Styela clava: one gene and its partner. The protein of the gene in region 1 purifies or fractionates together with the protein of each later gene. This does not show direct contact. Links are inferred from orthologs where the notes say so. Each region holds a gene or a part of one and is shown on either strand. Other genes may lie near its edges.

Region 1 (16,847 bases):
CATCAATAAGAAGAAAATACCAACAAGAACAACAACATAATAACAAAACAATCACAAAATGTACATTTCGTGTCCAATAAAGGTAGACTGGGTGCTACCTTTTAGAATACACCTTGTACAATACAATATATACAATAAATAATACTATGTACTTTGGTGAAAAGACGCCTAATCGGTTAAGTGGTTATATCGTATTTTACGGATTATACGACGTAGCGGGATACAGGAATGGAGTAGAACATCCACCTAAACCTATAGGATCGAACATTTTAAATGCCGCTAGGCCAGTTGAATCAACAAGTTATTCAACGAAAGATATTTCCTCAAATTTTGATAACATAACGATTCGACGTTTTGCAGGATGGACCTGTCGGCGGTTCTAAGATGCCGAAGAAAACAACAACTCAGTCAGTGAACTTGAAAGCAAACGTAATACAAAACTTAGGAACAGTTTGCAAACGTAGGCTACATTTAAAATGATGGGCAACGAAAAAAAGTATTCGTATAACATGAACTGCTTTTCATTGCTGTACCTGCTGGATATCGCATTTTACACACCCGCATTCTTTTGAAGTTAGCAAGAAGAAACGGTCAGGCATTTTTAACTGTATTGCACCTTGTACACTACAGCACGTTCGCGTTTTCATCTTTATTTTTCTTGGGCACGAATTGTATTTATAGATGTTTGTGTTTGTAATATATATGGGTAAACTGACAAATATATTTTTACTTGTTTTAAACCTTATTAGACGTTTTACCGATTTTTCAAATTTCTGTTGTGTTCATTGTTTTATTCTGTATACGCTTTTCCAAAATGAACTTATACTTAACTTTGTGGGACAGTGGTCAAAAATAACACTTCCGTGTTGCGCCACCTAAGGGATGTAAATTTAAAACTCACGGCCTGTATCATCTCGAATTACAAATTGTTCATGCAAAGAAACAATCTGAGTGAACATGTGGCCCGTCGCTTAATTATCTGTGGCTCGCGTCGCATTTTTAGGAAGGTAAACAAAAAAATTGCATTCAATGTTGTTTTGTCATAAAAATAACCAGAAAAATCATTCGACCTATTGTTACATCACTAATGTCACTGAATTAACTATAGTGCTATGGCTAGCTGAGGCAACTAGCGAAGTCGAATAATGGGCTTGGCTAGTCTAAATTGCTAACTGGCTTTCTATCTTTTGGTCGGCAATATATACTAACAAAATAGGCTCCATAGAAAACTAAAAATCGAATGAGGAGAGACAGACAGAGAGAAAGAGAGATTTAATATTTTGGCACCCAAAATAAAACAGCAGTCATCGTAATAATAGAAATAATACCAATAAAATATTTTAGTATGGACAGGAGGGAGAGATACGACCACGCGTTCAACTCCCCCCTCACACTATTATGTTTAAGATTCACAAATTCAGATGACTAAATGTAAATGTAGAACATTCTAGAATTTTATAATGATCAAATTTTTGTTTGCAAGGGTATGTCAAAAGTAAGATATGAGGCAATTAAATAACAAATAAGAAATGTAAATTACATCAAAATACAATGCAGAGATGAAGTCCATCATTTTCATAAAATATGAATATGAAAAGCACAATTGGTGAGATAAGTTATACATAAATATACATATAAGAGAATGATTTTTAAACAATCCCGAATATGAATGCTAGTAAGATAAGGTGACCATACGTCCTCCTTTTGGAGGATTTGCCCTCTTCTTTCGTTAAAAAATTTACGTCCTCCAAGGACGCTCTAAAATGTCCTCTTTTTTTCGCGGGATAAATATTTAAAATTCTTTTATGATATTATCAACAGCGTTTGATATGTTAAGAAAATTTCAAAGTCAGTAGATTATCATTATACACATGACAACTATCATTATAGATATGACAAGCAATATATTGCGTCGTGATAGCATACACACGGGGTTTATCGTTTTGTTCTGCAATTAGGTGTTACATCATTTCACCTCGTATTTCGCAATTTATTAAAGTTTCTATTTTGGCAGAAAATTACGTCAGAAGATTATGCCCAAAAGAAAACCCTTTTTTTACTAAGGAACTAAGGGAAGAATATCCAAAAGCATCCTCTGAGTCTGTTTTAGTACACTCACTTAGTTTACAATTTTAAAGACATTTTTTGCAGCTTGCCTTTTGAAAAAAATGTTGACAGCAATGTTGACGATGATTAAAAGAGCGGCCAAATAATCCTGGTCTAAAATCTAAATCGATTGTTCTGCAGATGTTCATAATAAAGACAAAGATGTATTATTTCATTGTCGTCACTTCGTCTATTGTCACTTCTATATTTAATCCTAGGGAATTTAGTAGATATATTATAATATATCATGCACAGATGAAATGTGTTTTTACCAAACAATTTGTCCTTCTTTTTGGATTTGAAAGTATGGTCACCCTAAGTAAGATATATATCAAGTGGAATGATACTAATGTAGAATTTTTTATGGCCAAAACACAATTACAATGTTAAGTATAAATTAGTGTTAGGTTAACCATAGGGGTGTAGGTGTACAACTTGAAAGATTTGTTTTAGAATCGATAGCGAGTAATTGGCTTACAATGGACACTCTGGTTAGCATGCCCAAATATACTAGTGCGAATTTTTTTTTACATTTCCACAAAATGTACTGTAGGTTTGGTATTAGTCTAGGACTATAATGATGAATTATCAGACATGGAAGAAATACTGTATTCAATGATACGTAAGACCATGGTCAAGCCACCACGAGTCTTATAATATATATATATATATATATGCAGTGGTTAAATCCAAATTTTTGTTCAGCCGGTTCCATCACAAAAGTCATATTTTTCAGTCGGTTCTGCTACAAAAAGTCATATTTTTTAGGAACTTTTCTTGAGATTAAAGTAGTAGCAAGAACAGGATGCAAGTCCAGGTTCCAGCGAATGGTGCGAGTCGGCTCAATCTCATCACTGCTAACAGCAACACGAAAGGGCAGCAGTCGTCTCATGACTTGTACTCATGACGAACAATTCAATTTTCAGACAAACAATCACAAATAGAAAATTACTACAATTATAAAAATTAACATAATGTATAACTGTTAGGTGCAAACTTAATCATTTCATATTTCACAACATCACAAAAAACACGTGGGCTACTTGAAAATCGGTGTGTCCCTATACCAGGTATGGCGAACCTTTTTTAAGAGTGGGTCAAAAATTATAATTTTATCGCGGAACAGAAGAGAGTGGGTCACAGATATTTAATTCACGTTTGTATCTATAAGAAACTTCTTAAACGAATCTTATAAGCTGGTGTTGGTGTAGTTTTGGGCTTTACTTATGCAGAACTTCTATCAGGGACTTTTCATGGCACTCGGTTTTATGATATTGGAGTACGAAAAAAACGCATATGAATTACCAAAAACGTTTAGGATGATGCGTTAAATTATTTTACGGTTCTAGTGTTTGGAGGTAATTCCGCTTTGATAGTGTTATAATTTTCGATCAGCTTCCAACCACATTAAGCGACTTTTAAACTGCCCCATTGTTATATCAGATTTCTAGATTTTTATTTCAAGTCTGAAAGTTTTTGTTTTCACAACGGCATTGTAGGCGAGAAACTAATAAAATGCAAAGTAGCATCTATTTCCTGTATAACCCCTAAAAAAAGTCTGCAGATGCACTTCCAAAAAAGACAGGCGTTGCGAGAAATGAACAACCTCCCTCAATAGTATTGTTATTTCATAAACGATGTCAGGTCCAATAGCTGAATAACGGTACACAGCGGTGCATACATGCGTACAAGATTAGGGGTTTGAAAATTACCATACCGGCCCGAAAATCAACATTTTGAACATGCGCGATCGCAGCCCTCCCTGACTGTCCAACTGACGGTACATTATAATAGTTTAGTGATTGTTAGATTAATTTAAGGCCGGTTTTATCAATTTTTATCACTGATATGTTAGCATTTTTTTTTATTTTTTTCGTGCCTTCGCTCGCCGGGTCACAAATAAAACGCGGTGGGTCACTTTGTGACCCGCGGGTCAGTGGTTTTTACGAGTGTTTTGGAGAGCAGACATTTAAAAACTGATTCCCATGTTCAAAGTTCTCATTTTCACCAAGATATCTGATTAACCACGTGAGGCTCACATGTACTGATAGCTAATTTTAGCTAAGTCTATCGCAGCTTTTTCGGGACTAATTTCTGGTTATTGAACTAAACTAAAGCTCCACGGATGACATAATGAAAATTGAATTACTTGATTCACAACTAATTTTTGTAAATAGAATTTAAACCTGGCAAATCACACAAAAACGAGCGAATGTTTACAACCATTGCTCGAATATCAGTCTGAATGAAGAAGTGTCTGAGCGACTGCACAAATTGCCATTGTTTGGTCATTTTGACTTATCGCTTGTTGGTGATTGTTACGAATATGAACAAGAAAACAGACGCTCGGGAAACATCTCCCGCATCTACAACAAAAATTTAGCAAAACGTTCATATGTACCGTACATTTCGTGTCCAATTTTTCTGGCGTGTTCTGTGTGCATAGAATAATGATACACTCCCGCATACTACCCGTAGTGCCATATTTTGGGGGGCTGAAAAAGATTTGATTTAGTATAAAATCTAAATTTCATCGTTGAATAATTCACTTTCATTTTGACTTACGACCTCTAGATATCTTTATCGAGCGTATTTAAATCAATTCACATGAAGTATTAACTATAGTACAAGGCCAACCAAGTTAAGCAATCTAAGTAAAATACAATCTAAAGAACAAGAACGAAACAGTTAAAACATGCAATGAAATATAATGTAATGTTCATCTCCACCCTCCAGCAGAGGCGCAGAGTCTTTTAAATTAAGAAATGTTTTGTTCAGTTCAGTTAACATTATAGTTCTCCTCAAGTCGTCCTGGCTTGTTGTAGGGCTGTAACCTCTGAAGCGCCCTAGGCAATCTTGGAGCTCTGCTGGTTAGCGATGGGCTCACATGATGACTTGGTTGTATTTCCACCGGAGTGTCTTGAGTAGTTCCTGCATTATGACTCCCAGAGTTTCCAATGTCTTCATCTCTCTCTCCGCTGGGGGGAATTGTTGGTGAGAATGGCATGATCGGCGGAGGCTGAATGATGATGCAAGGTCGTATAAATCGTCTGTTTTGTATAGTCACTCTTCCCGAGCCATCTACTCTGATTTTGTATTGTCTGTAAGGTAGGATTTCTACAATTCGACCAGTCCTGTTCCAGTGTCGTGGCTTGTTTGGGACTTGTGATTGTATAACGACTGTTGTCCCAACTGACAGTGGAGGGAGTTGTCTCGATGTGTTGTTATATTTGTCGATAATGATGTGATGGCGGTTAGCTAGTTTCTGCTCACGTTCCCCTGCAGATATAATCCATTGTGGATGGGGACGGTAATGCTGTGGATTTGTAGGAACGTGATCCCGCAGTTGTCTATGCAGAAGTATCTGAGCTGGGCTGAGATCAATGTCTTGCAGAGGAGTGTTCCTGTATTGTAGGATTGCCTGTGCTGCCTTATTATTATTCAGAGAACCGTCAGGCGATGTGCTATCACGTATGATCCTCTTGGCAGTTTTAACTCCGAGCTCTGCCCGTCCATTAGATTGTGGGTAAGATGCTGAGGACTTTCGATGCTTTATTCCCCAATCAGTTAAAAAGTTCTGGAATTCGGATGAGGTGAATTGAGGTCCACCGTCTGAGTCAAATTCTTCTGGTGCTCCATAGGATGTGAATAACCCACGACATGAGTTGATGAGCTCTTTAGTGATTGATCGATGTGGTGGGTAATGAAAAATACTGATCCAACCACTAAATCTGTCTACAACAGATAGGTAGCAGTGGTTCCCCAGTACAAAGTAGTCGGCGCATATGTGTTGAAAGGGATACTGTGGCGCCGGGCTCGATATCATTGGCTCTTTAGTTTGAGATGGAGCGTATTTCGTGCATGTGAGGCATCCAAATCGAAAGTTTCGGATCATGGCGTTCATGCCCGGCCAATAGACTGATTGGTTTGCTCTTGCTTTCATGCCTGTGATCCCTTGATGCGCAGAGTGTAGTGACCTCAGTATGGTCTTGCGAAGGGGAGTGGGAATAACTATGCGAGAGTCCATTAGTATTACATTGTCTTTAGTTGATAGGCGATCTCTCACACCCCAATAATCCCGGATTTCAGGCGGTGTCCCATGTCTTGTGTTAGGGAATCCATTCTCAATTGTTTTGATGAGTATGTTGTAGCTTTTGTCAGACTTTCCATGGCTTCTAATGTGATCCAGGGTCACAAGCGCATCGTCATCATTTATTGAGTTGATGACAGATTGTTGAATTGCGTGAACACGAGCTTCGCACTGCTCTGTTGTTGTTACTTCATCAGATGATGGGTCATTTCGTGCTATGTCCATCACTGCATTTTTCGTATCTGTTATTTCCAAGGCTGTGGGATTGCGTGATAAAGCATCGGGTGCTTTGTGCCATTTCCCTGGGCAATGCTGCATTGTGAATCTATATCGCAGGGTGTGTTCTTTCAAGTTTTGTATTCGAGGATTTTTAATACTATCCAGGTCTCGATCTTTAAAGATTCCCAATAAGGGTTTGTGGTCAGTGGACACAATGAGGTTTTGGCAACCTAAGGTAAACATTCGTGCGTGTTGTAAGGCCCAGGATACTGCTAATGCTTCTCCTTCAGTGGGTGAGTATCGACTTTCTGTTGGCGTGGTGAACCTGGAGTTGGCATAAACCAAATGCCAACCATCTTTGCAGCAAATAGGAACTTTATCGATCGAGCAATCACAGTATTTTTGAAGAAGAACGTATCCGATCCCATCTTTGCTCCAGTCACATTGGAGGCAAGTTGCACGTTTTGTGTCAAAGGAACGTATGCCCTGTTTAACTGTCTCACACAGTAATTGTTTTGATGTTTCAAATATTTTTTCCAAAGCTTCATCCCAGTAAAATTTTGAGTTTGGCTTTATGAGTTCACGAAAAGGTAACATTATTTCACTTATTGAATAAGCCCATGAAACTTGATTAACTAAACCAAACCAAGATCTGGCTCCAGTGATGTCTTTAGAGACTGGGAAATCTCTAATTGCTTTGAGAAGTTCTGCTGATGGTGTTATGCCATCTGGTGTTATGTTGTATCCTGCGAATGAGATTGTGTCTCTGCAAAATTTAAATTTCTTTGAATTCAGTACAATGCCATTTGTTGCGCATGTTGCTAGGTAATCCCAAGTGTGGAAGAAGGCTTCTTCTATATTTGTATCATATAGTAGCGTGTCGTCAACGCATTTTACTTTGCGAGGTGTATTGTTTATAATATCATCATAACGTCTTGTGTATGCATCTCCAGCTGCAATGAATCCTTGAGGCATTCGTTTGTACATGTATCTTCCCCATTCAGTTATGAAAGTCGTTAAATGCTGACTTTCCTCATCCAGTTCTATGGCGTGATATCCATCTACAGCATCCAGTACGGTCTTTTTAGTTTTAGGAGGTATCTGACATGCCAGTTGAAATGGTGTCTGACAATGATGAGTTTCTCTCAATGACTGGGAGTTTAGGTGCTGGAGGTCTATAGTACGTCTGGGTGTGCCATCCTTCTTTGCAATTGTTACCATTCTGCTGCACCATTCAACTGGTTGCCCTACAGGGACAGGTTCTATAATACCCCTTTCTACATCTCTGTCTAGACTGGATTTCACTGCTTCTTTCCAGTGGTATGGTACTGGAATAGGAGTATGATGTGCAAATGGTTGAGCATCAGACTTTAGGTGAATGTGGGCTGGGGGTGCATTCATTTTTGGAAATGGTGTGACATTGTTAAATGCAGTGTTTGCAAATTCCGCCAATAATGACATTTCCAGTCGGGGGACGTTCGTGTCCATTGGTGGGAATGGCAAATTTCTTGGTCGTTTTGGTAATTGGCCCAATGAATTCTCACTAGTGGGGATGTCTGCTGTGCTAATTTTTGCCACGTTTGCTCCCATTTCCATAGGGTAAGGAAATGCTTTAGAAAGGATTCTGGTATCAATGCAGCCTTGGCGACTGAAGTACATACGATCCACTTTGTTACAAATGTAAACTTGTTGTGTGGTAGAGTGTCCACCAATTACAAATTTGACCGGCAGCCAGCCGAAGCAAGTCAGTGTTGATCCTCCAACTGCCGTCACTATCTTATGACATTTAAGCAACTGATTTTGTTTGATTTGCATGCTCTGCAAATGCTTTGGGCCAGCTAAGCAAATGTTTGCTCCACTATCTGGGAATATTAGTACCGTGCATGGTTTCGAGTTGCGATTCTGAGGAAATGGATGTACTGTTGCTTGAATTTCATCCATTCCATGTTGTCCTGTAGTAAAGCAGTGACGTTTTTCGTTATAACGTACATGAGCTAGTAGGGCATTAGCTTCTGCTTGTGGTTGGTTTTTCTGGGGCTGATTCACCTGTCGGCAAACTCGAGCAAAGTGATTGAGCTGTTTACAGTTGGTGCAAGTTTTCCCCCAGGCAGGACATTTTGTTGAACGGTTCCTTGAACCTGGAAATCCGTGAGATAGACTTCCACAACCTGCGCATGGCCTTTGCGATTCGCGGGTGTTTGGTGTTTGTTTGTTGTAAGTTTGTGCCGCATATACTTCTGCGGTTTTCTGAAGTTTTGATTGGTCTCTTACAGCGGTTTCAAAGGCTTCTGAATGTTTGATAACATCTTCTAAAGTCTTAAATTGGTTGGCCTTGGCGAGCAATTCAGTCTGGAGGCTTGTGCTATGGACACCTCTGATGAATTGATCTCGAACGTGGTGTGACGATAGGTTGTGTTTGCATTGAGGACAAGAAAATTCACAGTCCACTGCTACTGACTTCAGTCTGGTGATGAATTCCTGAATAGATTCTGTTTCTGTTTGAATTATTGCACCAAAGTTCATGCGATGAACTGTGGGGTTTGAACGTTGTGTAACAATTGTTTCAATTGCTTTAAGAATATCCTCTTCATCGAGACTGAAAAAGTCCGTTACTGTGTTGATTATGCTTGTTTGAACTGCTTCATCGCACATGTTGTATAACTGGGAACTGTATTGTTCATCAGAAAGTCTTGTCATTTTCTTAAACACTTCCCAATCTGTTTTGAATTTTCGAAATTGAGGTCGTGTCATGTTTATTTCTATCCGCGGCATTCTGGGTGGAGGAGGCTTTATGATATTAGAGTCATTTCTTGGTGCATCTATTGTTTGTTGTGTGTGGGCTTCGAGTGTCATTTTTGCTTTGCTGTGGCTGAGGATGGCTAAAATATCCCCAACAGCTTGGATACCCAAATCAGACAAATCTGTTTTAGATAGATTAGGAAGTGTGACTTCAGTTATACGGTTTTCCATGAATTTTCTAGAATATATTGATGCTTCCTCCGCAGGTATTTCAGCTGATATGAAAAAATCTCTCCAACTGTCTTCTGTTCGCAGCGCCATATTTAAATCAATTCACATGAAGTATTAACTATAGTACAAGGCCAACCAAGTTAAGCAATCTAAGTAAAATACAATCTAAAGAACAAGAACGAAACAGTTAAAACATGCAATGAAATATAATGTAATGTTCAGAGCGTACGCTCAAATTCGTGACATGATTACAAATGACTTACAGACTTATGACGATTGCAGTATTGCAACACATACTAGCAAGTTAGTATGAATGAGTAGTTATCGTTTTGCTACGCAGGATTTGTCATAGCAAGGTCACAGGACAGATCTCGGAAATCTTTATTTATTTTAAATATACATTTGATTTGATAACATTGCCGGGATGACATACAGCGTTATCGGCGCGGGTGATGTGTCTGTCAGTCTGTGTGTGTGTAGGTACCGTAGGTCAGTACCGGTACCGTATGACCGTAGGTATTCTACTTTGGAGTCGTCAAAATACCGTACTGTCACCTCAAAGTACCGTACCAGTGCTCCAAGATACAGAGAAAGGGTCTAGCGAAGTAAACACTGCAAGTGGTTGAATAATGCCAAACTAAATAGTGATATAGTGATGCCGAACAAAAATTTGTGAATCAAAAATACCGGCAAAATTTTAACTATTTTTTTATATAAAGGTCTGTATCAGCGGAACACTATACCAGTATACCCTATTTGGCATGGGACATTGACTACTGAGTGGATTTGATTTTATCAGAATGCATCTGTCAAAAATTTCATTGCTCGCCAGAAAGACTTTATTTTAAAAACATAAAAATTTGACATCACATTTCTGTTTAGCGTTATTCATGCAGTTTCGGTGGTATTTTCACGTCTCATTTAAGGCTGTAAGGCTAGACCCGAGATACAATAGGTACAATAGGTACAATAGGTATCATTTTTATCCTCTGGTGATATGATACAGTCAGCTGGTTTCAGACGCGATTCCAAAATTGCAAGAGTCTGAAGAGAGTAGGTTTCACTATACTCCAGTACTCTGATACTGCTATATGAATGAGTAAACTTGCATTCTTTTCTCTTCGCAAATTATTAACGATATATCACTGTATCAAAAAGATATGAATAATATATATTATACTGATATATCAAACAGGTCTTAAACAGGTTAATACAAATATTTAACATTACTAATTAGTTGTTTGAATTCTTATCAAATGGACCCTGAAACTAACGCTGCTGATGATGCTACTATGCCGAAAGATTCTTCAGCACCATTAATATCAACTTTAGATTTTTTTTTACTGAGTGCTCTGATTGGATTCGGAGTTTACTGGTTCTTTTTCCGTCGTGATAACTCTATTAAAGATGACGAATTTCGAAAGCTCTCTGTCGTGTAAGTCGGATTGAATTCAATTAGCTAACTTACATACTGTACATCTGAGAATACCAATTCTGGTTACAATTATATACTGTATATGTTTATAATTTTTTTTTATCCAATTGTGAGTAATGGACTGGTCAAGCTTATGTGTCTAACTACCTTATATCTTTATTGACAATTCTTAGGGTCATTGAATCGGGCTATAAAGTATGCATGTTTTGCATGTGTTTATACAGACATTCGAAAATTAATTATATTTGGTATAGTGAGTTCTTAATAACTTTAGGAATATTCTCAGTTTGAAAGTTTTTTCATATCCTTTTTTTGCTTCTATTCAAGTTTGAACTACAGTTAATATTACAAAATGAAACTATATTTTCACAGCCAACCAACACTCACTCGAACAGATTCTTTCATGGATGGGTTTATATCACGAATGAAAAAAGGCGTAAGTGTATTTTTACTGTGTAAAATTTTGCATTAAATATGATTGAAGTGAGAAATTGACAAAGAAATTTTTCGTAAATAATGATTCCATTATAAATATGGTAAATTTTAGGTATCAAATAGTGATTTAATTCATCTTAAGTTCTTAAACAATAAAGAACTTTTGGATAGCATGGCTTTTAATTTATTTGTTGAAACTAAACTAATCTGGGAACATCCCTAATTTCAAACAGAGATATTTTGGACCGCTCATTAAATTTAAAAAAAACATGAAAATAATATTAATAAGACTGGACTACTGTGCGACTTGAAAACCATTGCCTCATTTTACATACCGGTATATAGTTCTGAGATTTCATTTTTATTTCTTTGTATTTCCTAACCTGATTTCCTCTCTATTTTAGGGTCGAAACATAGCAATATTCTATGGATCACAAACTGGTACGGCTGAAGAATTTGCTGGTAGATTGATGAAAGATGCTCAAAGATATGGAATGAAAGCTTTAGTTCTTGATCCAGAAGGTAACATCTTGGTTTTCCATTGTTTTTTCATAGTTGATAATGTTTCAATTGATTCCCGAATGAATTAGAGTGTGATATAGGCTGTTTATGTATGCTGGAATGATCTTTATGTTCTTGAAAACGTGATTAGTACCTTTTTGAATCGAGTGCATAGTGGTATTCGAGCAATCAGTTGTTTAGTGGATTTTCATTTTTTTAAATGTCTGTTTGCCAAGTACACCCTCTTTTTCGCCTTACATATTGTATGAAGATGATAGATTCTCCGAGAGTAGATTTTCTGTTATAACCAGAAAGGAAATTATTACCATACTTTAATCCAAAGTTATGTTAGGTGTGACTGGCAAATATAGGTGATAAAATTCAAAATATGGTACCGGTAAGTGCAATTTGAAAAAGCTATATTTTTAGCAGTTTAGATTTAAACTGAAGTTTTGAAAAAAGTTGCAATTTTTTAAATAGCAGGATATATATTCTAAATTGTGTGACGCTGAAAATAAGTGGGAGGATAAAAATTGATGAACTTTTTAATTATTTTTTTTTAGGTTTGTGAATAATTTTGTATCTTATGATTTACTTAGAATGTAGCATGGATCAACTGCCTGAAGTTATCAACATAGAAAAATCTCTTGCTATATTTTGTATGGCCACATATGGGGAAGGTGATCCAACTGACAATGCCCAAGATTTTTATGAATGGTTGGAAAATTGTGACGAAGATTTGAAGGGAATGAAATTTGCGGTAAGATTTATAAGAAGGTACTCCCGTATGTGTACCAGGTTAGGGTTAGGCCATAATTTTATTCCGATTTTTCTTATTTTAGTTCTATTACGAGTTCGGGTACTGTCTGTCTTAGCCAAGTGAATATCCTCCTGCCCATAGGTTTCAGTCCCTTTACACAACTTGATGTAAAATAGGTGAACAAAATTAGTTACCTCCATATTGGTACCCATACTTCTGGAGCGCCTATAAGAATAATATGGATTATTTTTTTACTTGAAAATGTTACCAGTTGGATTTTTAGTTTTGTAATAATTTGAAAAATATCAGTCAATAAAAACCTTTCTATGTCACTGGATTGATAATCATAAATGCTTCGTGATGGAATTTCTGTTATCAAGTTTGTTGGCGGAAATTTGCTCATTTTCGTTTCTCCTTATTCCTGGTATTGATGAACAAGGATATCCTGGTTTCTAGTCATAAGTGACGCACTGCACACAATGATTGATTGTTATGGGAAAGTCGCTAGTTATTATTTAATTACTGAGCTAATTGATGTGACTATTAGCCCATCATGATGATACCAATAACAATTTCTTATTGGAGTACCATTTTCAGCTATTTTTTCTTTTTTTAGTTTTCTTTTTTGGGAAATATTTCTAATTTGTTGCACTGAGTGAGTCAATTTTTATTGGCAAAACACTAATTCGGAATATCTGAATTGCTAAAGAATCGTCATTTCCTTGTTTGAATTTCATCAAAATTTATAAAGGCCAATTTCTCTATAAATTTGAATGATACAGTGAGTAAAATATAGTTTATTGCAATCATGATTATTTGTTCAGGTGTTTGGTCTTGGAAATCGTACATATGAACATTACAATTCCATGGCCAAATTTGTTGACAAACGTCTCGAGGAACTGGGCGGAGAACGGGTTTATCCTCTTGGTTTGGGTGACGATGATGCCAAGTAAGTCTCTCATTCAAAACTCCGTCAAAATATTAAAATCCTGTCTTTTTCGCTCTCTTTCCGTAGCGTCCGCTATTCATAAAACTTTCTCTTGCTTAAATTGCTAACATTTGAAGCTGTTGTATATTGAATAATTTAAAATTTGAAATATTTAGTCAAATCTTATTTTCTTTAAAATGAAATTAACATTAATCAAGGTGAGAAAATGCAAGTTTTAAAAGGGGGCTAAATTTTGGCCACATATGCTTTCAACTCAGATCACACTCAGACCAAAAATTTTGATGTTTTTATTCCAGTGCTAAAATTATTATCTTATCTTTCTTATTTTTATTATTATTATCTTTTAAAGAATCTTGATTTTTCAGCAGCAAATGTAAGCATTGTATCTTTTTTCCTGGTAGTATTGAATTGAAATCTCCAATCAGCATTTACTGGCGGGTAATCCTGTATAGTTCTGGTAGCTTTTGGCAATTTGGTAGTTGCTTGTAAATTTCCCAGCAACCAGTTTTTTTTAGTCCTAGGTTAGCACCCTAAACCTTGTTCGAGCAGTTCTCCTAAACAATAGTATTGAAAAATGTTGATATTATAATCAACTCTTTCAATTCAGCATTGAAGAAGATTTTGTGACGTGGAAAGAAGGTTTTTGGCCAGCAGTTTGTCAAAATCTTGGTGTAGAATCATCTGGGGAAGATGTTTCTTTCCGTGCTTATACTTTAACTGTTCATGACACTGATGTATTAAACATGGAAACTGTTTACACAGGGGAAGTTGCCAGAATCAAGTCTTATAAGAATCAAAGACCGTAAGTTAGATTGCTTTCTTGATTTTCTTCATGTTTTGTCATGAACATTATTTTGCCATGGAAACGATATCATGTCATGAATCGATTGTTAGCCTTTTTGCGATTTAGAATTGTTCATGTAAGCATTGTCTACTATGTTGTTTAGCATTGAACTCAAATCTGTAAAACGCATATGAAACAAAAAACTGTTTCACAATCCCATACGCAACATGGACTGGTAACCGGACGAGAGGCCGTGTTACGCAATGTCATCAAGTTGTCTTATCTGCTTTCTTCTCCCCCTGAAAAAATAGGAAAAAACAATTCTGAAGACTACTAAAATGCTTAACTCGTTATTATAAAACCTAAACTATTTATTTCCCTCTTAGAATGAAATAAGCCTTAGTTTTAGTTTTTTTCGTTGTCCATGTATTTACAGTGAAATGCCCAAATAAGTACACTGAATACATTCTGCAATTTTCCCTTTTGTTTATTCCATGACAAAGAGTGTTAATTAGATCATTGTTCATATGATGAGTATTTAACATATTGATAATGTTATTTCATTTTGTCCTATAATGCAACAAAATCATGATATGTAACAATTTGGCTGCTCCAGAAGTGTATGTACCAATATGGAGGTGTCGCCTACTTTACATCAAGTTGTGTAAAGGGATAGAAACCATGGACAGGGGGTAATATTCACTTTGGCACAGACAGTCCCCGAACTCGTAATAGAACTAAAATAAGGAAAAACTGGAATAAAATTATGGCCTAACCCTAACCTGGTACACATGCTACGAGAGTATCACAATTTGCACATTATCACTTGCAAGCTCAGGTTGACAGCATTCTACAAATGTAACAAGTTTATACAGCAAGATAAAGTACAAGGGCACCTTTATTTCATTTAAACATGACCTATATCTTTGTGTACAAACCACAAATACTGAGCCCTGTGTGGCATTAACATTTTCTTATTTGAACCAGCCGTGACGATGTGTAATTCAAACTTCATTAGGAATGGCACAATGATGTTAGATACACATATTATGTTTGGTTTTATCATACCAATAAGACTGAATCGTAGATAATACTTGAATAGATCGTATCTTAATTTGCCTATTCTTTTCAGACCATATGATTCGAAAAATCCATATCTTTCTCCTATTAATGTAAATAGAGAATTGCACAATGGTGGTGACAGGTCATGTATGCATATTGAATTTGATATCACGGATACACGTATAAGGTAACCGGCACGTGCCTCAATTTTATTTATTTAGTGACGACTTTGTTGATTTAGATTTTTGTAGGAAACTTCAGGAGAATTATATCTTGTAGCCTATTTATTCGAAATGCCCTATTTAATGGTTTTCTAACTTTTAACTGAAAATTTCTGGATTTTTTTTACAATAAAATCGAAAAGGCTTCAAAATTGTCTTTTCTGAACATAGGCAATTTGAATGAGCAAGCCCTTGGTTTCAAAGGTTGTCTCACAAGCCAGAAACATTATCAAAACAATTTTTTAACATTTCTTTAAAGTGTAAAAGTGTTGTTTTTTTTACAGACACAGTGCATATTTATGCATAATCAATATATGTACATACAATGTACTTGTATCTTAGGCTATGTTATATCATGCAATAAAAATTTAATAAGGGAAGAATTTCAGAGCCTATATCAATCAATTTAATGCGTTCAACTGCTTTGTAGTAAGCTCTTGTTTCTATTCATTTGTGTTGCAAACTTGAAATATCATGTAGGCTATATTATTTTTCTATGTCAGATATGAGACAGGAGACCATGTAGCTGTTTATCCAGTCAATGATACAACGATCGTTGAAGCTATCGGAAAGAGAGTTGGAATAGATCTTGATACTATTTTTTCACTGAATAATCTTGATGGTAGGCTGATTTTTAAATCACCATCTGGGTGCTAATATAGTTTTTCAGTGAACTTGTTGCTACGAACTATTTCATGACTCCTCGAGGTTTTTTTATGTAAGAATTTAAAAACAACTGGAGAGTTTAAAATTACAGCTTTAGTTAAAAATCACTTTATTGGATCGATGTATAAATGAATTCTGATGTTCGTGTCATAATATTGAATATTCATATCAATATTTAATTTCTGTCTCAATCAGGGCTGCGCAGCTAAGTTAAAATCTCAATGGTTCCTACTCCAGAACTTCATTTTTACACCCTGTAGCTGGGGCTCAGCCCCACAGCCATCAGGGTTTTTATATGACCACTAACAATAATCCTTCACCCAAATGCAGTTTTGCAGAAGCAGGACTCAAAAGCACCATATTGGGATTTCATATTTAGGAATCAAATTTTGAATATATAAATTCAACTTTTTAAAACAGTGTTAAAATTAAAAGTTAGAAATTAAATTTAAGAAAATTATAAGCTGGAAAGGATCTGGCTTCAGCTCCAACAAAACACCACGGCTTCAGGGCTTTGGGTCCAGCTCCTCCGGCACTGGTCTAAATACTAATGATCAGAAATTTATACTATTATACAAGGGTATAATATTATATGTTTAATACAGTTCGCTGATAAACGATTTTATACCAGGAAGTTCCTTCTTTCTAC
Region 2 (15,774 bases), on another chromosome or scaffold:
CTTGAAATAATCCCAAAAATAAACATTATTTCCACATCTTTTTCCCAAGCACGACCAAACCATTTCCAAACAAGATAAGCCTAATTCACTATAAATTTTGCACCACCTTTTATGACTATGTTTATGTGCGTTTATATTCTCGTGGCACGGGCGAAACGTTAGAAAAATATCGCAGGTTATTTTCTAAAAAATATATTTCACGTGAAGCGTTGAATCAATAAAATAAAGAAAACCAGATCAAAGATGATCAAGTATGAATTATGCATGAAACGAGTCTTTGAAATCATTTCTAATTATGGTCATTGCATAATCCATAAATGTTAAAAAAACGAAATGATTGTTCTTTGCAAAACATGCTGCAATTATAACGGTTCTTCAAGATACCAAGATATTTTATTTTAGGCGTAGTTAAACTTTATAATTTTTTCAGGTATAGGTAACTATTTTTAGAATCTGATGAATCTGTCGAAAGTATTAATCTGTGTGAAATTCTTATCGCTTCCATGAAGCTTGATAAGTTCTTCTGCCCTGAACTCCCAATTTCTTTTCCACTAAACTTTCCTCCCACTTGATTTTCTTTTGAGCAATCATTACTCTAAGTTGGTCAACTAATAGTTGGTTAAATGTAAATTAATTTGATAAATAATAATAATCTGTGACCCATTCTCATACCAGGGTTTTGTTTCAAAATTGAATTTTTTGATGTCACATTTGATTACAGCATAGCTTTATATAAGTATAATAAACCGATAAGCCGTTTTATATATCTACCTTCGAAAAATACAATTTCAGAACGGAATAAATAGCGGATTTGAATTGACGCAAGAATTCATGTCGATAATATTTTTGCAATGACTGAAATAATTTTTTCTCTTAAAGCCAACACGCCACCTGTACTTAAACCTCAAGCTTTGCTATAACTTTTTGCTTCATTCTTGCAAGCAATGATAATACTCGGAAATATTACGTCCCAAGCAAGCACTTATATATACGTTCCCGAACACAAAATCTATAACAACCTTTTTTCTTAAAATGTCTCGTTCAAAATGGTATTGCGCGACAAAAATTTTCTTGCAGTCAATGGTGTAATATCCCAATAAGCAATAATTAGATTTGAACAAAGGCAGAAAAACAGCGTAGGCGTTTCTCCTGATTACCATCAGCAGAACTTTTTGCGGAAACTCCCTAATCTCTTGTTGGAAGACGAGATCAAACAGTTGAAAATGGCAATTTGTTAAGTAATAACGGACGAAGATCCTTGAAGACTTGCAAAAGGGATTGCTGTTCACAAGTCTTACCATAATATATATAATTCAAATTGTGTCAATCGACATTTTGCTGATATTTTTGTTACCGTCAAATATTCAACTTCACTCTCTCAAAATAAATTACATTATTAGCGCAGATTGTGTGCCCAGGTAGCTATCTATTGTGATCCGAGTTTGGCGTACAATAACGAATATATATAAAAATATATTGTAAGGCATTTGAATTCATATTCTTTCTAACTTTGATTTGGAGAAGGTGGCGGTAAATTTTTTTTATGCTAGCAAAAGTATATATTCAGATCATCTTATAACTAATGTAGAAATTTATATATATATATATATCTGTCATCAGGTTTCACATTAAGCATGTATAATTTTTGAAAATACCTGCCATAAGAACATATTACTTTTCATCTGACCTCAGTGCGGTCAGGGAATTACGGTCAGTGAGTATCAGTCCATCATAACTAATTTTAGTTTGGTCGCTTGGACACGGAACAAAACAACAACAAACTATAGAGTTGCCTAGAAGGTGAACATAACTTAGGATTAAATTGAAAAACGTTGCAGTGCCAGTCAAGAGAATGAATACGTTCCTTCACATGTTTTTTGTGTCTAATCACAGTGTTGGATACGGTCGGCAAGGGGACGGGCTAAAAGTAGGCAATTGAAAATTATGCACGTTCTAGGCCCTTCGGAAAGATGGAAAATGGGTGTAATAACTTCTGAAACATAATGAATTAGCTAAAAATAGTCAAATTAGATGTGACTAATTTTCAAGTTCCTACGTTTAGTCCAGTGGTTGTCAAATTACGGCCCGTGGGCCGGATCCGGTGCACCGAAGATTTTTGTTTGTGTCTGCTGAAATTACGACTATAGTTTTTAGGGATATATATATAAATAAATATATAACGTACCATAAAACAAATATCGTGATGTCTCACGCATTATCCGAACTTGAATATAATCTAGCCTACAAAACGAGCCACATATACCCAGGGGTGGATCAACCATTACGCTATATAAGCACGTGCCCAAGGCATCAAAGAAAGGGTGGCACCACAGAATTTTTGGTAACCCCGTAGTATGCGTACCAGGTTATGGTTAGGACATAATGTTATTTCGATTTTTCTTATTTTAGTTCTATTATGAGTTCGGGGACTGTCTGTGTTAGCCAAGTGAATATAACCCCTGCCCATAGGCAAAAGTCGCTTTATATAACTTGATGTAATGTAGGCGAACAAAAGTAGTTACCTCCATGTTGATACACATACTTCTGGAGCGCCGAATTTTTTATAATAGAATTTTGAATTGCGCTTCAGTGTTTAATGAAATAATTAGAGTTGGTCTGACGACTCAAACCCCAATATTGTCTCCGTTAAACTAAATTTTGCTTTTTTCTCAAGTATCATATTTCCCTCTATAAATGTTTGGGGCATGAGAACTATTTCCAAAATATATCATAATTTGGCCTTCAATCAATAATGAATCCTGAAACTCCATCTTTAATTTCAGATGACAATAGTTTTATTATTATAGGATAGGATTTTACATATTTATCCCGGGGGAGAGGAAAGCAGATAAGACGGCTTATCCATATGGCGAACCACGGCCTCTCGTCCGGTTACCATTCCAAGTCGGGTATATGGGATTAGTTTTACTGTATTGTTTGTTTTCGGAAGCATGGACTTGGTGGTGGAGGAAGCCGTAACCGACCAGCGGTTACGTGAACCACCCAACGACGGCGAGGAGTCCAGCAATCCTCTCGCACATAACCATCCCTGCATGGGATTCGAACCTGCGAACCCACGCAGAGTGATTAGAGGTGCGGTGGCGAGCGTATTCCTAACGCTTAGCCCGTTGAGCCACACCCCCGCGCCGCGCTGTATATTATTATTATTTCTTCTTATACATAGTGCACTAAAGTCTTAAGTGCTCAGGGTCTTTAAACTGCAAATGTCCTGATTAAGCTCAATTAACACTGTTATGCTTAGAGTGGTTGAGTGGGGTACAGCTACCGTACCGATATCGGTATTTCATTATAAATATTGAACGTCAAGGAGTAACGGTACACTACTACATTTCAAAATACTGGTGCAGTATGTGTGAAGAAACAAATATCGGATTTAGTGGCGAATGACGCTTTTTTAAGTATTGAAGTTACAGTTAAATGCTATTCAAAACATATAACGACGGACCTTTTCAACAGTATTACTGTTAAAAAGTACCAGTCGTTTAACGTTTAAATGGCATTTTACCGTTACTTTTTGAAGTTACGATGAAATGCTACTTAGAATATTTATTGACTGACCTTCTTTAATAGTAACACTGTTAAAAAACACCAGTTGTTTAATGTTTAAGTGGCATTTCACCGTTACTTTTTGAAGTTATGGTGAAATGCTACTTAAAATATTTCATGACTGACCGTTCTTAACGATAACCCTGTTAAAAAGCGCCAGTCGTTCAACGTTTAAATGGCATTTCGCAATGGCAATTGAGTTACTTAGCTCGCTCATCGCTTCAGAAATGTGCTTTACAATAGAATAAAAAGATTATAAAACATTGTTGTTGTTGTTGTTGTTGAATATAATATAATTATATTTCTATATAATTCTGTCATAACGCTCGCTAAGGAGAAGTTGCAACTGCAAATTTACGAAAGCTATCCACTGACTATTAGACTGCATAAATTAGTTCTAGACTGCATAAAAATGAATACAAGAAGCATATTAAATATCAGTATCGGACTATCTTTGTTTGAGTCTTGTAAATCAAAAAATGGATGATTTTTTTTAAAAAAAGGTAGTGAGAAAATATGACTCTAGTCTGGCCAAATGTGATTTCATTGAGGCAGGAAATGACTTTGAGCCAAAAACACAATATGTTGAAATTCAATGCTACGTTGCGCATGCGCTTGGATCCTATCAAGCCCCAACTTGTAAGTATGTATGTCAATTTGCCTCAAAAATGTAACAATATCTGTATAATAATTAAACAGTAAAACAGAGACGGGATACATGTTCAAGACCTTACTGGCTCGATACACATATGTGCGACATGCAGCCCTAACAATCATAACAGCAGTTTAAGACTGTTGCGGTATAATAGGACAACAGACATGAAATAGGCTATACAAATAAAACTCTAGTAAAATGCACAAGACGAAGAAGTACGATACAACGACGATAGGTACAATATAGTTAGTTAGTTTATGGCATGTCCATGTCCCAGGTTCCGGTGTGAGAGGATGAAGATCGGGTATGGGTCGCTGGAATGATATATTTTTACAATGAATCTCACGAAACACGTCTTGGTCTGATAATATCCAATATGCAAGCTCAACTTTAGCATTAATGGTAAATTGCATGTGGATACCTACCTCTCTTATACAGTAGTAACTAGTAACACCTCATTGTGGGTCGCACAGGAAGAATGGCAATAAAAGTGAGTCGCGGACTGATAAAAGGTTGAAAGCACTGCAATAGATGTTTGTTGTAGCCTACATTAGCTGTTTCGATAATTTTTTTGCAAATAAACTGTTTTCATTCATAGTTTCATATTGAGCCGCCGGCCCACCAGTCGTTGGGCCCACCAAGCATCTGGAACCGGCATTTGTCCGTCTGGTCTGCGCGTTAGGTTGAAGAGAAATGATTCGTAAGTGACGGATAAGTTCTTTGACATCAATTTTTTTTAATTAGCCTATCTACCGGTGTTTTTCGACTTCTTTCTATTCCACCTGTATCATAGTTAGGCATTGATCACGGGTGTCGCTGCTGGATAACCGGCATTGATTTTTCGTGTCGTGTGTATGTGCATTGAGGTCAACATACGGTTTTGAAAGTTGATACCCGTACCGCGAACCGGTATTTAGTTTAATCCGTATTCTGGTATCTGTACCGTATTGCTGAATCGTGCTAATCTAAATTCAGAAATTAAAATTACGGTACATTTGTCACAAAACTGTGGAGTTGTGACCAGCAATCAAATAATTGATGACCTTTGTACCGGTACCGTAATGTTCTGAGCTTAATACTGTAATAACGCTGAATTTTTAAATTTAAAAGCCCAGCATTAAATTTGTGGGCTGGGTTAGCACTGATGTACGGTACCGAGACCAGGGCTACTCAACTGGCGGATCTTTCGAGTATTAATTTGGACCGCAGCTACTTCTTGACATTATTTCATTTTGTAATGTAATACGTTTTCCGCTAAACCACTGAGGATAAAATTCTCATAACAATAGGCTATAATTTTTTCAGAGCATCGACTGCCTAGCATTGTCTAATCAGCAACGGCTTCCTCCACCACCAAGTCCATGCTTCCGAAAACAAACAATACAGTAAATCTAATCCCATACCCGACTTGGAATGGTAACCGGACGAGAGGCCGTGGTTCGCCATATGAATAAGCCGTCTTATCGGCTTTCCTCTCCCCCGGGATAAATATGTAAATCCTATCCTATCCAGCAAGATGTTAATGGTGGCGTAAAAACTGAACTATTAGCGACCGCATCTGTTTGCTAAAATTTTTATGGACATTCAGACATTGTGGTTTTTCTTAATAAAAAACAAGTTCTTTCCGCAACTAGATATATTATTACGGTTGCTATGGCGGCGAATAACTTCAGATTTATATATATCTTTTCAGCAAAGTGGGCTCAGCTACAGAAGCCTTGTCATACTGGCAGCGAATCGCGATATTGAGTATTGCTCCTGTATTTTGTCAAACAAAACATTTGAAGTATTTTTTGCATAGTTAAAATATATTTTTACAATGACCGAACCTTGGTAATTTTCAAGTTTTGTGTAGCTGAGTTGTGAAAATAGTTGAGTAGCCCTGCTTTAGACTTAACTCATATGATTTCTTGAATAGAGGTTCAAATATCAAATTGAGTTGTTGCTGAGTTCTGAAGTTTGTTTTCAGTATAAAACTATAATGGCTCAAGCGGAATGTGATTTGTGTAACCTTTTGCTGAAGAAATATTTTGGATCCATTGTGTCGAATGTTGGAAAATTTTTATGTAAAAATGGACGACAACCATTAGGTCAAATTATAATCAGCACAAAACTCAAACCATCGTTAGTAAAGAAATCACTATGTGTGCTAATTCAACACAAACTTGTGAGATTTTTTAAAAAGAAAAAGAGAATTGAATACATCTTTGATATGAAAATTGGATTGCGACTTTTACAAATTCCAAAAATAATTTACACAACAAAACTACTGTATGGTGATCCAGGAGAATTGATTATAGAAGAGATTCTTGTCAACGGAATTTCAACTATGGAGTCAACTTTAGAAACAGTTGTCAAACGACTTCAGGAATCAACGGAAAAAGTAAATGAGAATGAAGTTAAAACTATTTTCGAGAATCTCACAAATGCGAGATTTCTTTTAGTCGAACCTAATGTTGAAGATACTGGTGACGTGGACGCAGCTGAAAGTAGAGATAGCGATTCACAATTTCCGGCTGGGAATCGAAAAAGAAAATATTCTGGTAGTGAAAATGATGCTCCTCAGAAAAAGCGAACAAAAAATGCATTCGGTACTTGCTATTCGATAAATTATGCTCGTTATTCTCAATATTTTCGCGATCAAAGTATCATTGCAGGTGTAACACAAAAATTTAATGTTGCATGCGGGGAAATTGTAAGAACATTGTTAAGAATCAGCGAGGTAACAACTTCTGGTGACGCTGAGGTTACTCAACCAATATCCAGTAATGAAATTAAGCATGCGCTCCCTTCAAATATGAACTTATCTGTTGAATACATCGAGCAATATCTAAATATAATGAAGAATGACGAAGGCAACTTCGTACAAAAATCTGACGAAACCAGCAGCGGAACATACGCTGTTAATATAAAGAAATGCATCACAGCGATTTGTCATGCTAACGTTCTTTCTTATGTGCAAGAAAGATTTGGAAGTAAATGCTGCAGAATTTTTAAACTTCTTATGTTAAAAAATCATATGGAACAGAAGCAAGTCGAAGATTTTGCTATGATTCCTTCAAAAGAAGCAAAAGAACTTTTATATCAAATGTGGGCGGAAAATTTGCTAGTCATGCAAGAAATTCCGAAAACTGCTGACCATGCACCTTCTCGCACATATTATCTTTTCAATGTGAATATAAAAAAAGTGGTTCGAACATTGTTATCTCGTTTAAATAAAATGTTAGTAAATCTTCTTGCTCGTCAACAGTATGAAGTTAAAGGCAACAAAAGACTCCTTGAGAAACGGAAAAGAATTGATTCGATAAAAGCAAATTTACAACAAGCTGAAGAGGATCAGCTAGAAGAAATTGAAGAAATGTTGACACCTGCAGAACGAGACCATTTGCAAAAATTAGAACATTGTTGCAATAAACTAGGAAAAAGCCAAATTCAAGCCGAAAATACTGCTTTTCTGTATAATTCATTTTTGGGATCATAATCAGATTGGTGCTTTCTATATTCTATCAGTGACATAACTGTGTGTTATTTCATATTAGGCATTGTGTCTAAAATATAATAATATTAGCACATATTTTTTGCAATTGCTTTAAAATTCAAGTTTCACAAACTAATTTTGACAATTTTTCCTATGAAACCACTGCCTATTGTAGAAAACTAGAAATTGTACTAAAACCGACAACATTTGTTTTTCAAACAGAATAATCCAATAATTAATATCATTAACTGTACAATCCACCTTCAATTAAATCACACTACATCAGGAGAGAACAAGATGTCACAAGGTGAAAGCGTTGCAAAAAGGCGGCACGGAAAATGGAACATTGACATGACATTACGTAAAGGTGAAAGACAACAACAAGAACTGCCTAGTCCTCCTGGATATGGTTCTGATCGTCACCAAGCCAAAGAAACTGTACGAGGGGGAGGGGGGACAGACCAAGCATTGATCGATAAGAAGGGTTGGGATGTCGCTCTTGCCCCAATCAAAAGCCTTCCAATGAATGTCTTCCTCATGTATATGTCTGGAAACACAATTTCAATATTTCCAATTATGATGGTGGGAATGATGTTCTTTCGTCCAGTTCAAGCTTTAATGGGAATTAAAAACACAATGAAAATGTTGGAAAGAGCTCGGCAGTATTATCTACTCACACTTGTTTTTATGCTCGGAAATATTATGGCCATTGGTCTTGCAGTATATAAATGTCACAGTATGGGTCTCTTACCAACGCATGAATCAGACTGGCTTGCATTTGTTAGTCCATTAGAAAGAAAGGAATATGTCTCAGGTGGTGTTGGAATATAGCGTTGGCTGTGAAATACTGCCCCAGCAGAACAATCATATTGTCACCGATATGGTTCAAAATGTGTGACATATTGTATAGCCTATACTTAAAGAGAAAGTGATAAATAAAATCATTGTAGTAAGAATATGATTATTCTTCATTATTAAATCTTAATAATGAAGTTCCCAAAATTCATTAAGTCATATCAAAAACACCATTTTATTTTGAATTGGCATGTCGTATGCTGCTCATTTTTATTTATTTAATACTTTCTGGAAAAATCAAATCTTTGAGTTTATTTTACCATGACCTGAATAATGGCAACAAATGCAATTGTATAATAAGCCAAAGTATAGTCGGTAAACACATCTTTCCCATCACCCACCAAAAAATTGAAATTTGATTAATGTAGTGTTTTATTTTGATAACTAATTTGACAGTTTTTTAAATAAAATTTTTCGATATAATTCTGGTTGAGATAAACATGTTATATATAAACTTGAATTGATGGTTTCATCCATTTTAGTCATAAATGATTAAAAAAAGCAATGCATCATTTCTCTGGTGTAATAATGTTGTGTATGCTATACCAAATTACTATTTTTACAGTTGGTCTGAATGACTGGGTTTTAGCTAGCAATAAGCATATTGCAATTTATGAGTTCCATAGACTGCCATGATTTATGTAAGGATATTAATATACTATTTGCGAAAAGTTGAAGATTTGATTCATTTTGGTTTTCCATTGAACTATTATAAGTTCGGGGGTCCATGCATGACTTTTTGTAATATGCTTTTTTGGTACATGGTAATACAATTTTCACATTTGTTGCTCGGGAGTTCTAAATTTAGTCAATCTGTGCAATTTTTGATGAACATTTAACAACTGTCAAAATATAACCCTTGTTAAAAGCTAAGAATAGGATTACCATTGAATATTTTAATGAGACTATTTGCATAGATTTTTTGAATGCTGCTTCTATGTGTTTTGTCAGAATTTTGTATAAATGTTGTATTTAGATATAACGTTGTTTGCAATAATTTCTTAAATATTGTGTAAATAATCAATTTGTCAATTCAGGATGATATGAAAAGTATTATCAAAAAATGGAATTCATATAAGTATAGATTTGTACCTTGGATTAAATTGAAAAACAAATCACTGCCTTCAGCAAGAGTAACGAACACCTACTCCGATAAAATTATATCAGATGCTGAAGTTTTACAGCAAGTGACAAAAGCATTTAAAAATCTCGAGCGAAGTGAAGAGAAACTGGTTAGATCTCGTGGATTTTCCTTGGAAGTGCGAAAAAGTACACTCACTGGAGCTGGGAGAGGAGTATTTGTGAGACGTGGAGCTATTAAAAAAGGAACCGTGGTTTCTTTCTACCCAGGAACTATTTATCTTCCATATGAGTCGATATTTTTTCAGTCGATTGCCAACCCTTTCATTTTTAGGTGCTCTGATAGTATTTTGATTGACGGAAATAACAAAGGAATCTCTAAATTGATTTTCAAGTCTTGCGCAGGAAGAGACAGAGTTGGACCATATTTGACAGCTGATATAACCTGGCTTAATCCGTACAAAAGTTCATTTAATATTGGACAAATTGTGAATAACCAAACAAGTGCTAATCCAGCAAATGTTTGTTACCAAGAGTTTGATTTTCCTGATGACTTTCTTTAGAACTGAAAAAGTTCATTCCTAATGTGTTTTATCAAAGCCTTTGTGGGCGTCGTGAAATGAGAACAGTGGTCCTTGTTACTACTAGACATATTGAAAAAGGTGAAGAACTATTTTCATCTTACTACACTTTGATAAAGCAATGATTGCAACTCGAATGTTCGGTCGACGAGCATTGCCCATCGCCATGAGGAGAAGGGCAATATTCCAATCAATGACTAATTCATATTCTGTCTCAACAGAGCCGCCTTCGAATGATTCTAAAAAAAACAAAAAACGACCTGAAATAGGGGGTGTTTGTTGCATGACAGGATGTGCGAATTGTGTTTGGATAAAGTATGCAGAAGAGTTGTTGGAGTATTATGGAGGTGTTAACGCTGGCAGGCAAGAAGTATTGAAAGCTATCGATGATGAGGTTGACGATCAGAGTTTAAAAGCATATCTCAAGTTTGAGATTGCTTTGCTGCTGAAAAGCAAGACTTGAATATGCATTTTATGATGTTTATCTGTTGTTGTTAAGAATAAAAAATGTTTATCAACTGTTCCAGATAATGTGTTATTAGTGTTGGGTCTCCCAATGGGTCAATAGTAAGCAAATCTCCCATAAATTTTTCAATATAGTCAAGTCCTGTCAAATTTTAGTGTTAGAAACCCACATTGCTGATGTTTCCAGTGCAAGCATCCATACACACTTGAGTCATGTTGACAACGAGACATGAAACATTCCATTGTGAACTGAACCAATGTTAACTATTTCTTAGCATTCTCTCAGCTTATGTCTGTAACCATTTTCTAATACAGCACTAAACGACATGTTGAATCATCCTCATCCAAGAATTAGTAGAGTCCGTTGATTTTGCTCAAATGGCAGTACTTTAAAGTCACTTTAGCAACCCAACACTGCTATTAAAGTTGTGGTTAGGCAGGGAAGAAAATTTTAACTCTAATTGAGCGCATGGCTTCGGCGGCCTCTTGCAAGGCGTTGCAAATAGCAACTAGACTTCTTGCTGATTTACAAGATTAACAATTGTGTCATGAAACATTTAATACACAATTTGGGTAAAAATCTTTCAAATTATTATTAAACCTTGTTAGGGTTATCAGTTTGGTCCCTACATCTCTTGCCATAATGCATTGTTGGAGGCTTCTACCAAATCAATTAATACCGTTGAGTTTCTGGATGAGCCTAACCCCAGACCAGTGGACGAACCCTCATTTGAAACAAAATATGCTTCCTATACAGAGTACAATAACCTGATTTGACGCTCCAGAATTGCGTTCGCCCACTTTACTTGAATCATGTTGTGTAGAAGGACAGAAGCTTATGGGCAATGGGTATATTCACTTGGCTAACATAGACAGTTCCCGAACTCTTAATAGAACTGAAACTAGAAAAATCTGAAAATAATTATGGCCTAACCTGGTACACAACACTACCGAAGTACCCCTAATTCTGCATATATTCTAACCAGAACCCATGTTATAGTCAAACAAGTCAACTCAAAACACGGAAGCAAATATATTTGCTCAGGTGAGAATAAGACAAAGCACACATCGGAACTTAATTTAAAGAATGAAAACATTTGATGTCTGTAATGCAATTCTAAAATGAGCATCATTGATTTCAACTTAATTCTCCAACATTTTTCTTCTTTAATCTAGATATAACTTTTCTGTCAATTACGAGTCCCAGTGAGACGGCAAGTAAATAATACAAACTACATTTGTAGAGTTTTGAAGCACTGTTACTGTTCCCTTTCCTGTTGAACAAGATTTGAAAATACAATTGTAACTGAAATTGAGGGACACAAAAATTTTACAATTCTTTTTAAATGTTTACCTGTAAAATTGAATAGATTCCTTCATCAACCAGGCATTGAAAGGAGCTGCCATTGCAACAAATGCCCATGAAGTAACTCCGGTGAATGGTGCGGCAAGAGATAACCCACAAAGTGCAAGAGAGTGACCCAAAACTACTGCTTTAGTGGCTTCAGGGTGAGAAAGGGGTAACATATGATAGGATCCTCTGGCATAGTCTCCCTTTCTCCTCCAAGCCAATGCGAAGAAATGTGGAAATTGCCAACAGTACAGAATTCCAGCCAGAATAAAAGCACCTGTTAAAATAAAAATGCCAGTTTTTTATTTGTCAACCAATACATGTCCTCATTTCCATCGGAATAGTAATTATATCATATTCCAGAATTTTCTGCTCCAAATTCAAAAGTGCAATATAAATATTTTATTGTGGTCATACCAGGTGGAGGGATTCAGGGGGTTCGCACAAAACTGGGTACTCCCGTAGTGTGTGTACCAGGTCAGAGTTAGGCCATAATTTCATTCCAAAGGATTCAGTTCCTTTATACAACTTGTAAAGTAGGAGAACAAAATCAGTCAGCTCAATATTGGTACACACACTTCTGGAGCGCCCAAAATTGTTCTTGATCTGGCGATTAGTGTTATATTTAGCATTTTGAAAGTTATGTACTATGAGATTTATGAAAAGCATGTCATATAAAAGCAGCTCACATAGGGACATACATTAGTAAATATGACATATAGGTAGCTGTAGGGCTGTAAGTTCGGCCTGATTTTCCGAAAGGAGTAGTCTGTTGTTTGTGAGTTTAAAAGAGAACCATTCCCTAAAATTGAATCCCACCACTGGTTATATCATGACTCCAAACAAGGTTCTAGACAAGAAAACACTAAAATTTATTGGATACTATTTTGGGATAATGCACATTTTTCAAATGTAGCTTTTCTAAATAGTAACAAATTGAAAATTAAAATTCCTATTACCTGGATCTAAAGACCCTGTTGCAGCTGTCCATCCCATAATAGGAGGAATTGCACCAACAATAGATCCGGCCCAAGTATTCAACCAATGTCTTCTTTTTAATGGAGTGTATATTGCAGCATACAATATAATATTAGAAAGACCAAGCGCTGCTGTAAGACCATTGACACCTGAAAACAAACGGAATAGTCACTCATCAGTTATGTTAAATTGCATATTGCCGTATATAGCTAAACTATAGCCAAGCTAAAATGAATACTATGTCATACCATAATATAAGCAAGACACTCCAGCTATAGCAGATGAAATCCCAAATATAGTTGCATGGAGAGGAGATATAACATTGCGAACTAGAGGACGATTCTTTGTTCTGTCCATTTGTGCATCATATGGCACTTCTGCAATCTAGAAAAAATAATAATATAACTCGGAATACCGTTTGAAGCTGCACCAAATCAAAGTTATAAAACTTACATATAGAAGGGGTGAGCACAATTTTTGAGTACAAGAGCCGCATAATTTTTGAAATTTATATTATTAGAATATCGTTAACAGAAAAGAAATTTACACATGAAAACAATAAATAATATCGCACTGTAACTGAGCTTAATCGCAATCAAGTTGCATCATCGCCAACGCAGCAACAAACATTTAACCATTGTGATGTAAGATTTGTCGCTTGACTGATTTAAATTTAAAATTCCACACTGCAGCAATTTTCATATTAAAACAAAATTTGTCTCAATCATTGATGAAAACTTCTTCTAACGCTCTAATTTTAAAAAAAACACTACGGTTCTACGGTTTTCTCTTAGTTAAATTTGAATAATAATTATGTTAGCGAGAAGAGCCGCATAAAAACTCCCGCGAGGGGCATGCGAGCCGGGGTTCTTCCACAGTTGATATATAGATATTGTATTGATATTAATTACTACGCCATATTGTGTAGGATTTACTGCTAATAAGGAAATGCACAAGTAGTATCTGAGGAATGTGTTTTTAGATAAGTATGTCCTATGCAATTAATTCATCCTTAAGTGTGAAGTATGCAAACATGCCAAAATGACACTTTATTATGCAAGCCACAAAATGCATTATACTTTGGCAAACTTCAACAATTACAGATTATAAATATATAAAAAAATAACATAAAGAAGCAACAGAGGTGAATGAAACGTACTTGATTGAAGGTATTCGCTGCACATGAGCAAAGTAGCGTACCCATAGTGGCAAAGAAAAATAAATGATGATCAAAAGTGACGGGAGCAAGACAGTATCCTGCATCAGCAGTCATGACAACAAACACTAAAAACAGAGTCAGTGTGTTATTTTTATTAACAAAAAAGCAGGTAACCATTGCATAAGTATGTCCTCTTCAAATTCTGTACGTGGATGTTTGCACAGCGGTCGGAATTCTGTCGGTACCAAATTGCAGTCTTTCATTTCAAAGTCAAAATTTCAAATTAAAACTTAGCATCCATTTTAGTGCTTTAACAGTATAATGAAGCAAGATTGCAAACACCATGGTTTTTATTATCAAAATATGATTTTCCTGGAGCCGAACTCACAAATGATTTCAACTCCAAAACCCTCCTCAAATCTATATTCAAGCTATCTATCTGGAACATTAACTATTCTCTAAACAATATTAAAATTTTCCTATACCCTTTGATTAAATGATCATGAGAGTAAATGCATAGGCTACCCCAGGCAATTGCTGAACTGAATGTTCAAATTACTAAAGTATACGAAGAACACTTACATGTTAAATACCATTTTGAAAGAGACATATATATCTTGGGATACTGGTGCCATTTTGTGTCTATCTTTACCCAGGTTGAATCTTGTAACACAGAAATATGTTCATTCTTTAAAGGTTTCGAAATGACATCATTTACTGTTGGGAAGATAACAGTACTTGTGTCTATCTTTTTAACTCTATCAGATTTCAAGTTCTTTGTCTCAAATGTTTTATCATAGTGGAATCTAATGAGTGTTTTATTGAGAGTTGAGGTTTGAGATATTGAAGTACATTTTGAAGTTGGGTGTAAAATGCTGAGAGATGCAAACTGAAGTCTGCCGATATTACAACATCGTTTTCCAAGATGAGAAACACGAAAAATCATCATTTATGCCGCAGTGTTATCATATTAAACATAGTTCACATTGTTTGAATGGATGATTGAAGAAGTACTATAGAAGTAAATACTACTAACTCTATAGAAATGAAAAAGAAAAGTCAAAATAGGTTAGCACAAATTGTCCGAGGATCAGTTGACTAAAAAAAGAAAAAAGTGAGTGCTACCAAAGACCTCAAGTGAGTAATAGCGTGAGGGTTAGGGTGTCTTGATGGAGAAATTAACCCTCTGCCCCAAGTAACCCTCGCGCTATAGCACAGCTTGAGGCAGATCTCACGGCACTCACATCATAGTATGGAAGAACATACATTATAGTAGCACTGAAAAATGAATTTGGTTTCATAAAATTATTTATTACTTGTGTGAGGAAATCAAATATTCCTAGTCAGGGATGCCCAGAACAGTTTGAATATCGTACAACGTTTGACATAAATTCGTGTTTATAAGGATTAATTCAATGAACGATCTCATATGAATTTTCAAAACCTGCCTTCATGAATATATATATATCCATTTATAATGCATTCCCCCAATAAATATCCTATTTGAATTTCAAGTATTCTATAAACAGATAAAAGATATGATTGTCCACTGAAAATTCTTAAACAACCTAGATAAACAAATCCAAGTACAATAAAAAACCTATA

What was found.
Region 2: the proteins of NADPH--cytochrome P450 reductase-like (region 1) and ER membrane protein complex subunit 4-like purify together in Homo sapiens (affinity purification with mass spectrometry; 3 studies listed by BioGRID and IntAct, with this or other methods). This does not show direct contact. The link is inferred for Styela clava from reciprocal best matches to the Homo sapiens genes POR and EMC4.

The regions. Positions count from the first base shown.
Region 1 is NC_135261.1:17,875,185-17,892,031, forward strand, and holds the start of NADPH--cytochrome P450 reductase-like, read left to right. Parts: upstream 1-10,581; 5' UTR 10,582-10,641; coding exon 10,642-10,820; intron 10,821-11,192; coding exon 11,193-11,256; intron 11,257-11,659; coding exon 11,660-11,777; intron 11,778-12,355; coding exon 12,356-12,516; intron 12,517-13,340; coding exon 13,341-13,465; intron 13,466-14,072; coding exon 14,073-14,267; intron 14,268-15,381; coding exon 15,382-15,498; intron 15,499-16,035; coding exon 16,036-16,154; intron 16,155-16,847. UniProt on the Homo sapiens protein: This enzyme is required for electron transfer from NADP to cytochrome P450 in microsomes. It can also provide electron transfer to heme oxygenase and cytochrome B5.
Region 2 is NC_135250.1:22,924,867-22,940,640, forward strand, and holds ER membrane protein complex subunit 4-like, read left to right. Parts: upstream 1-7,877; 5' UTR 7,878-7,997; coding exon 7,998-8,531; 3' UTR 8,532-9,592; downstream 9,593-15,774. Other genes in the region: DNA-directed RNA polymerase III subunit RPC3-like, read left to right, coding at 6,204-7,703; protoheme IX farnesyltransferase, mitochondrial-like, read right to left, coding at 11,820-11,955, 12,036-12,309, 12,992-13,159, 13,259-13,394, 14,170-14,294, 14,752-15,118. UniProt on the Homo sapiens protein: Part of the endoplasmic reticulum membrane protein complex (EMC) that enables the energy-independent insertion into endoplasmic reticulum membranes of newly synthesized membrane proteins.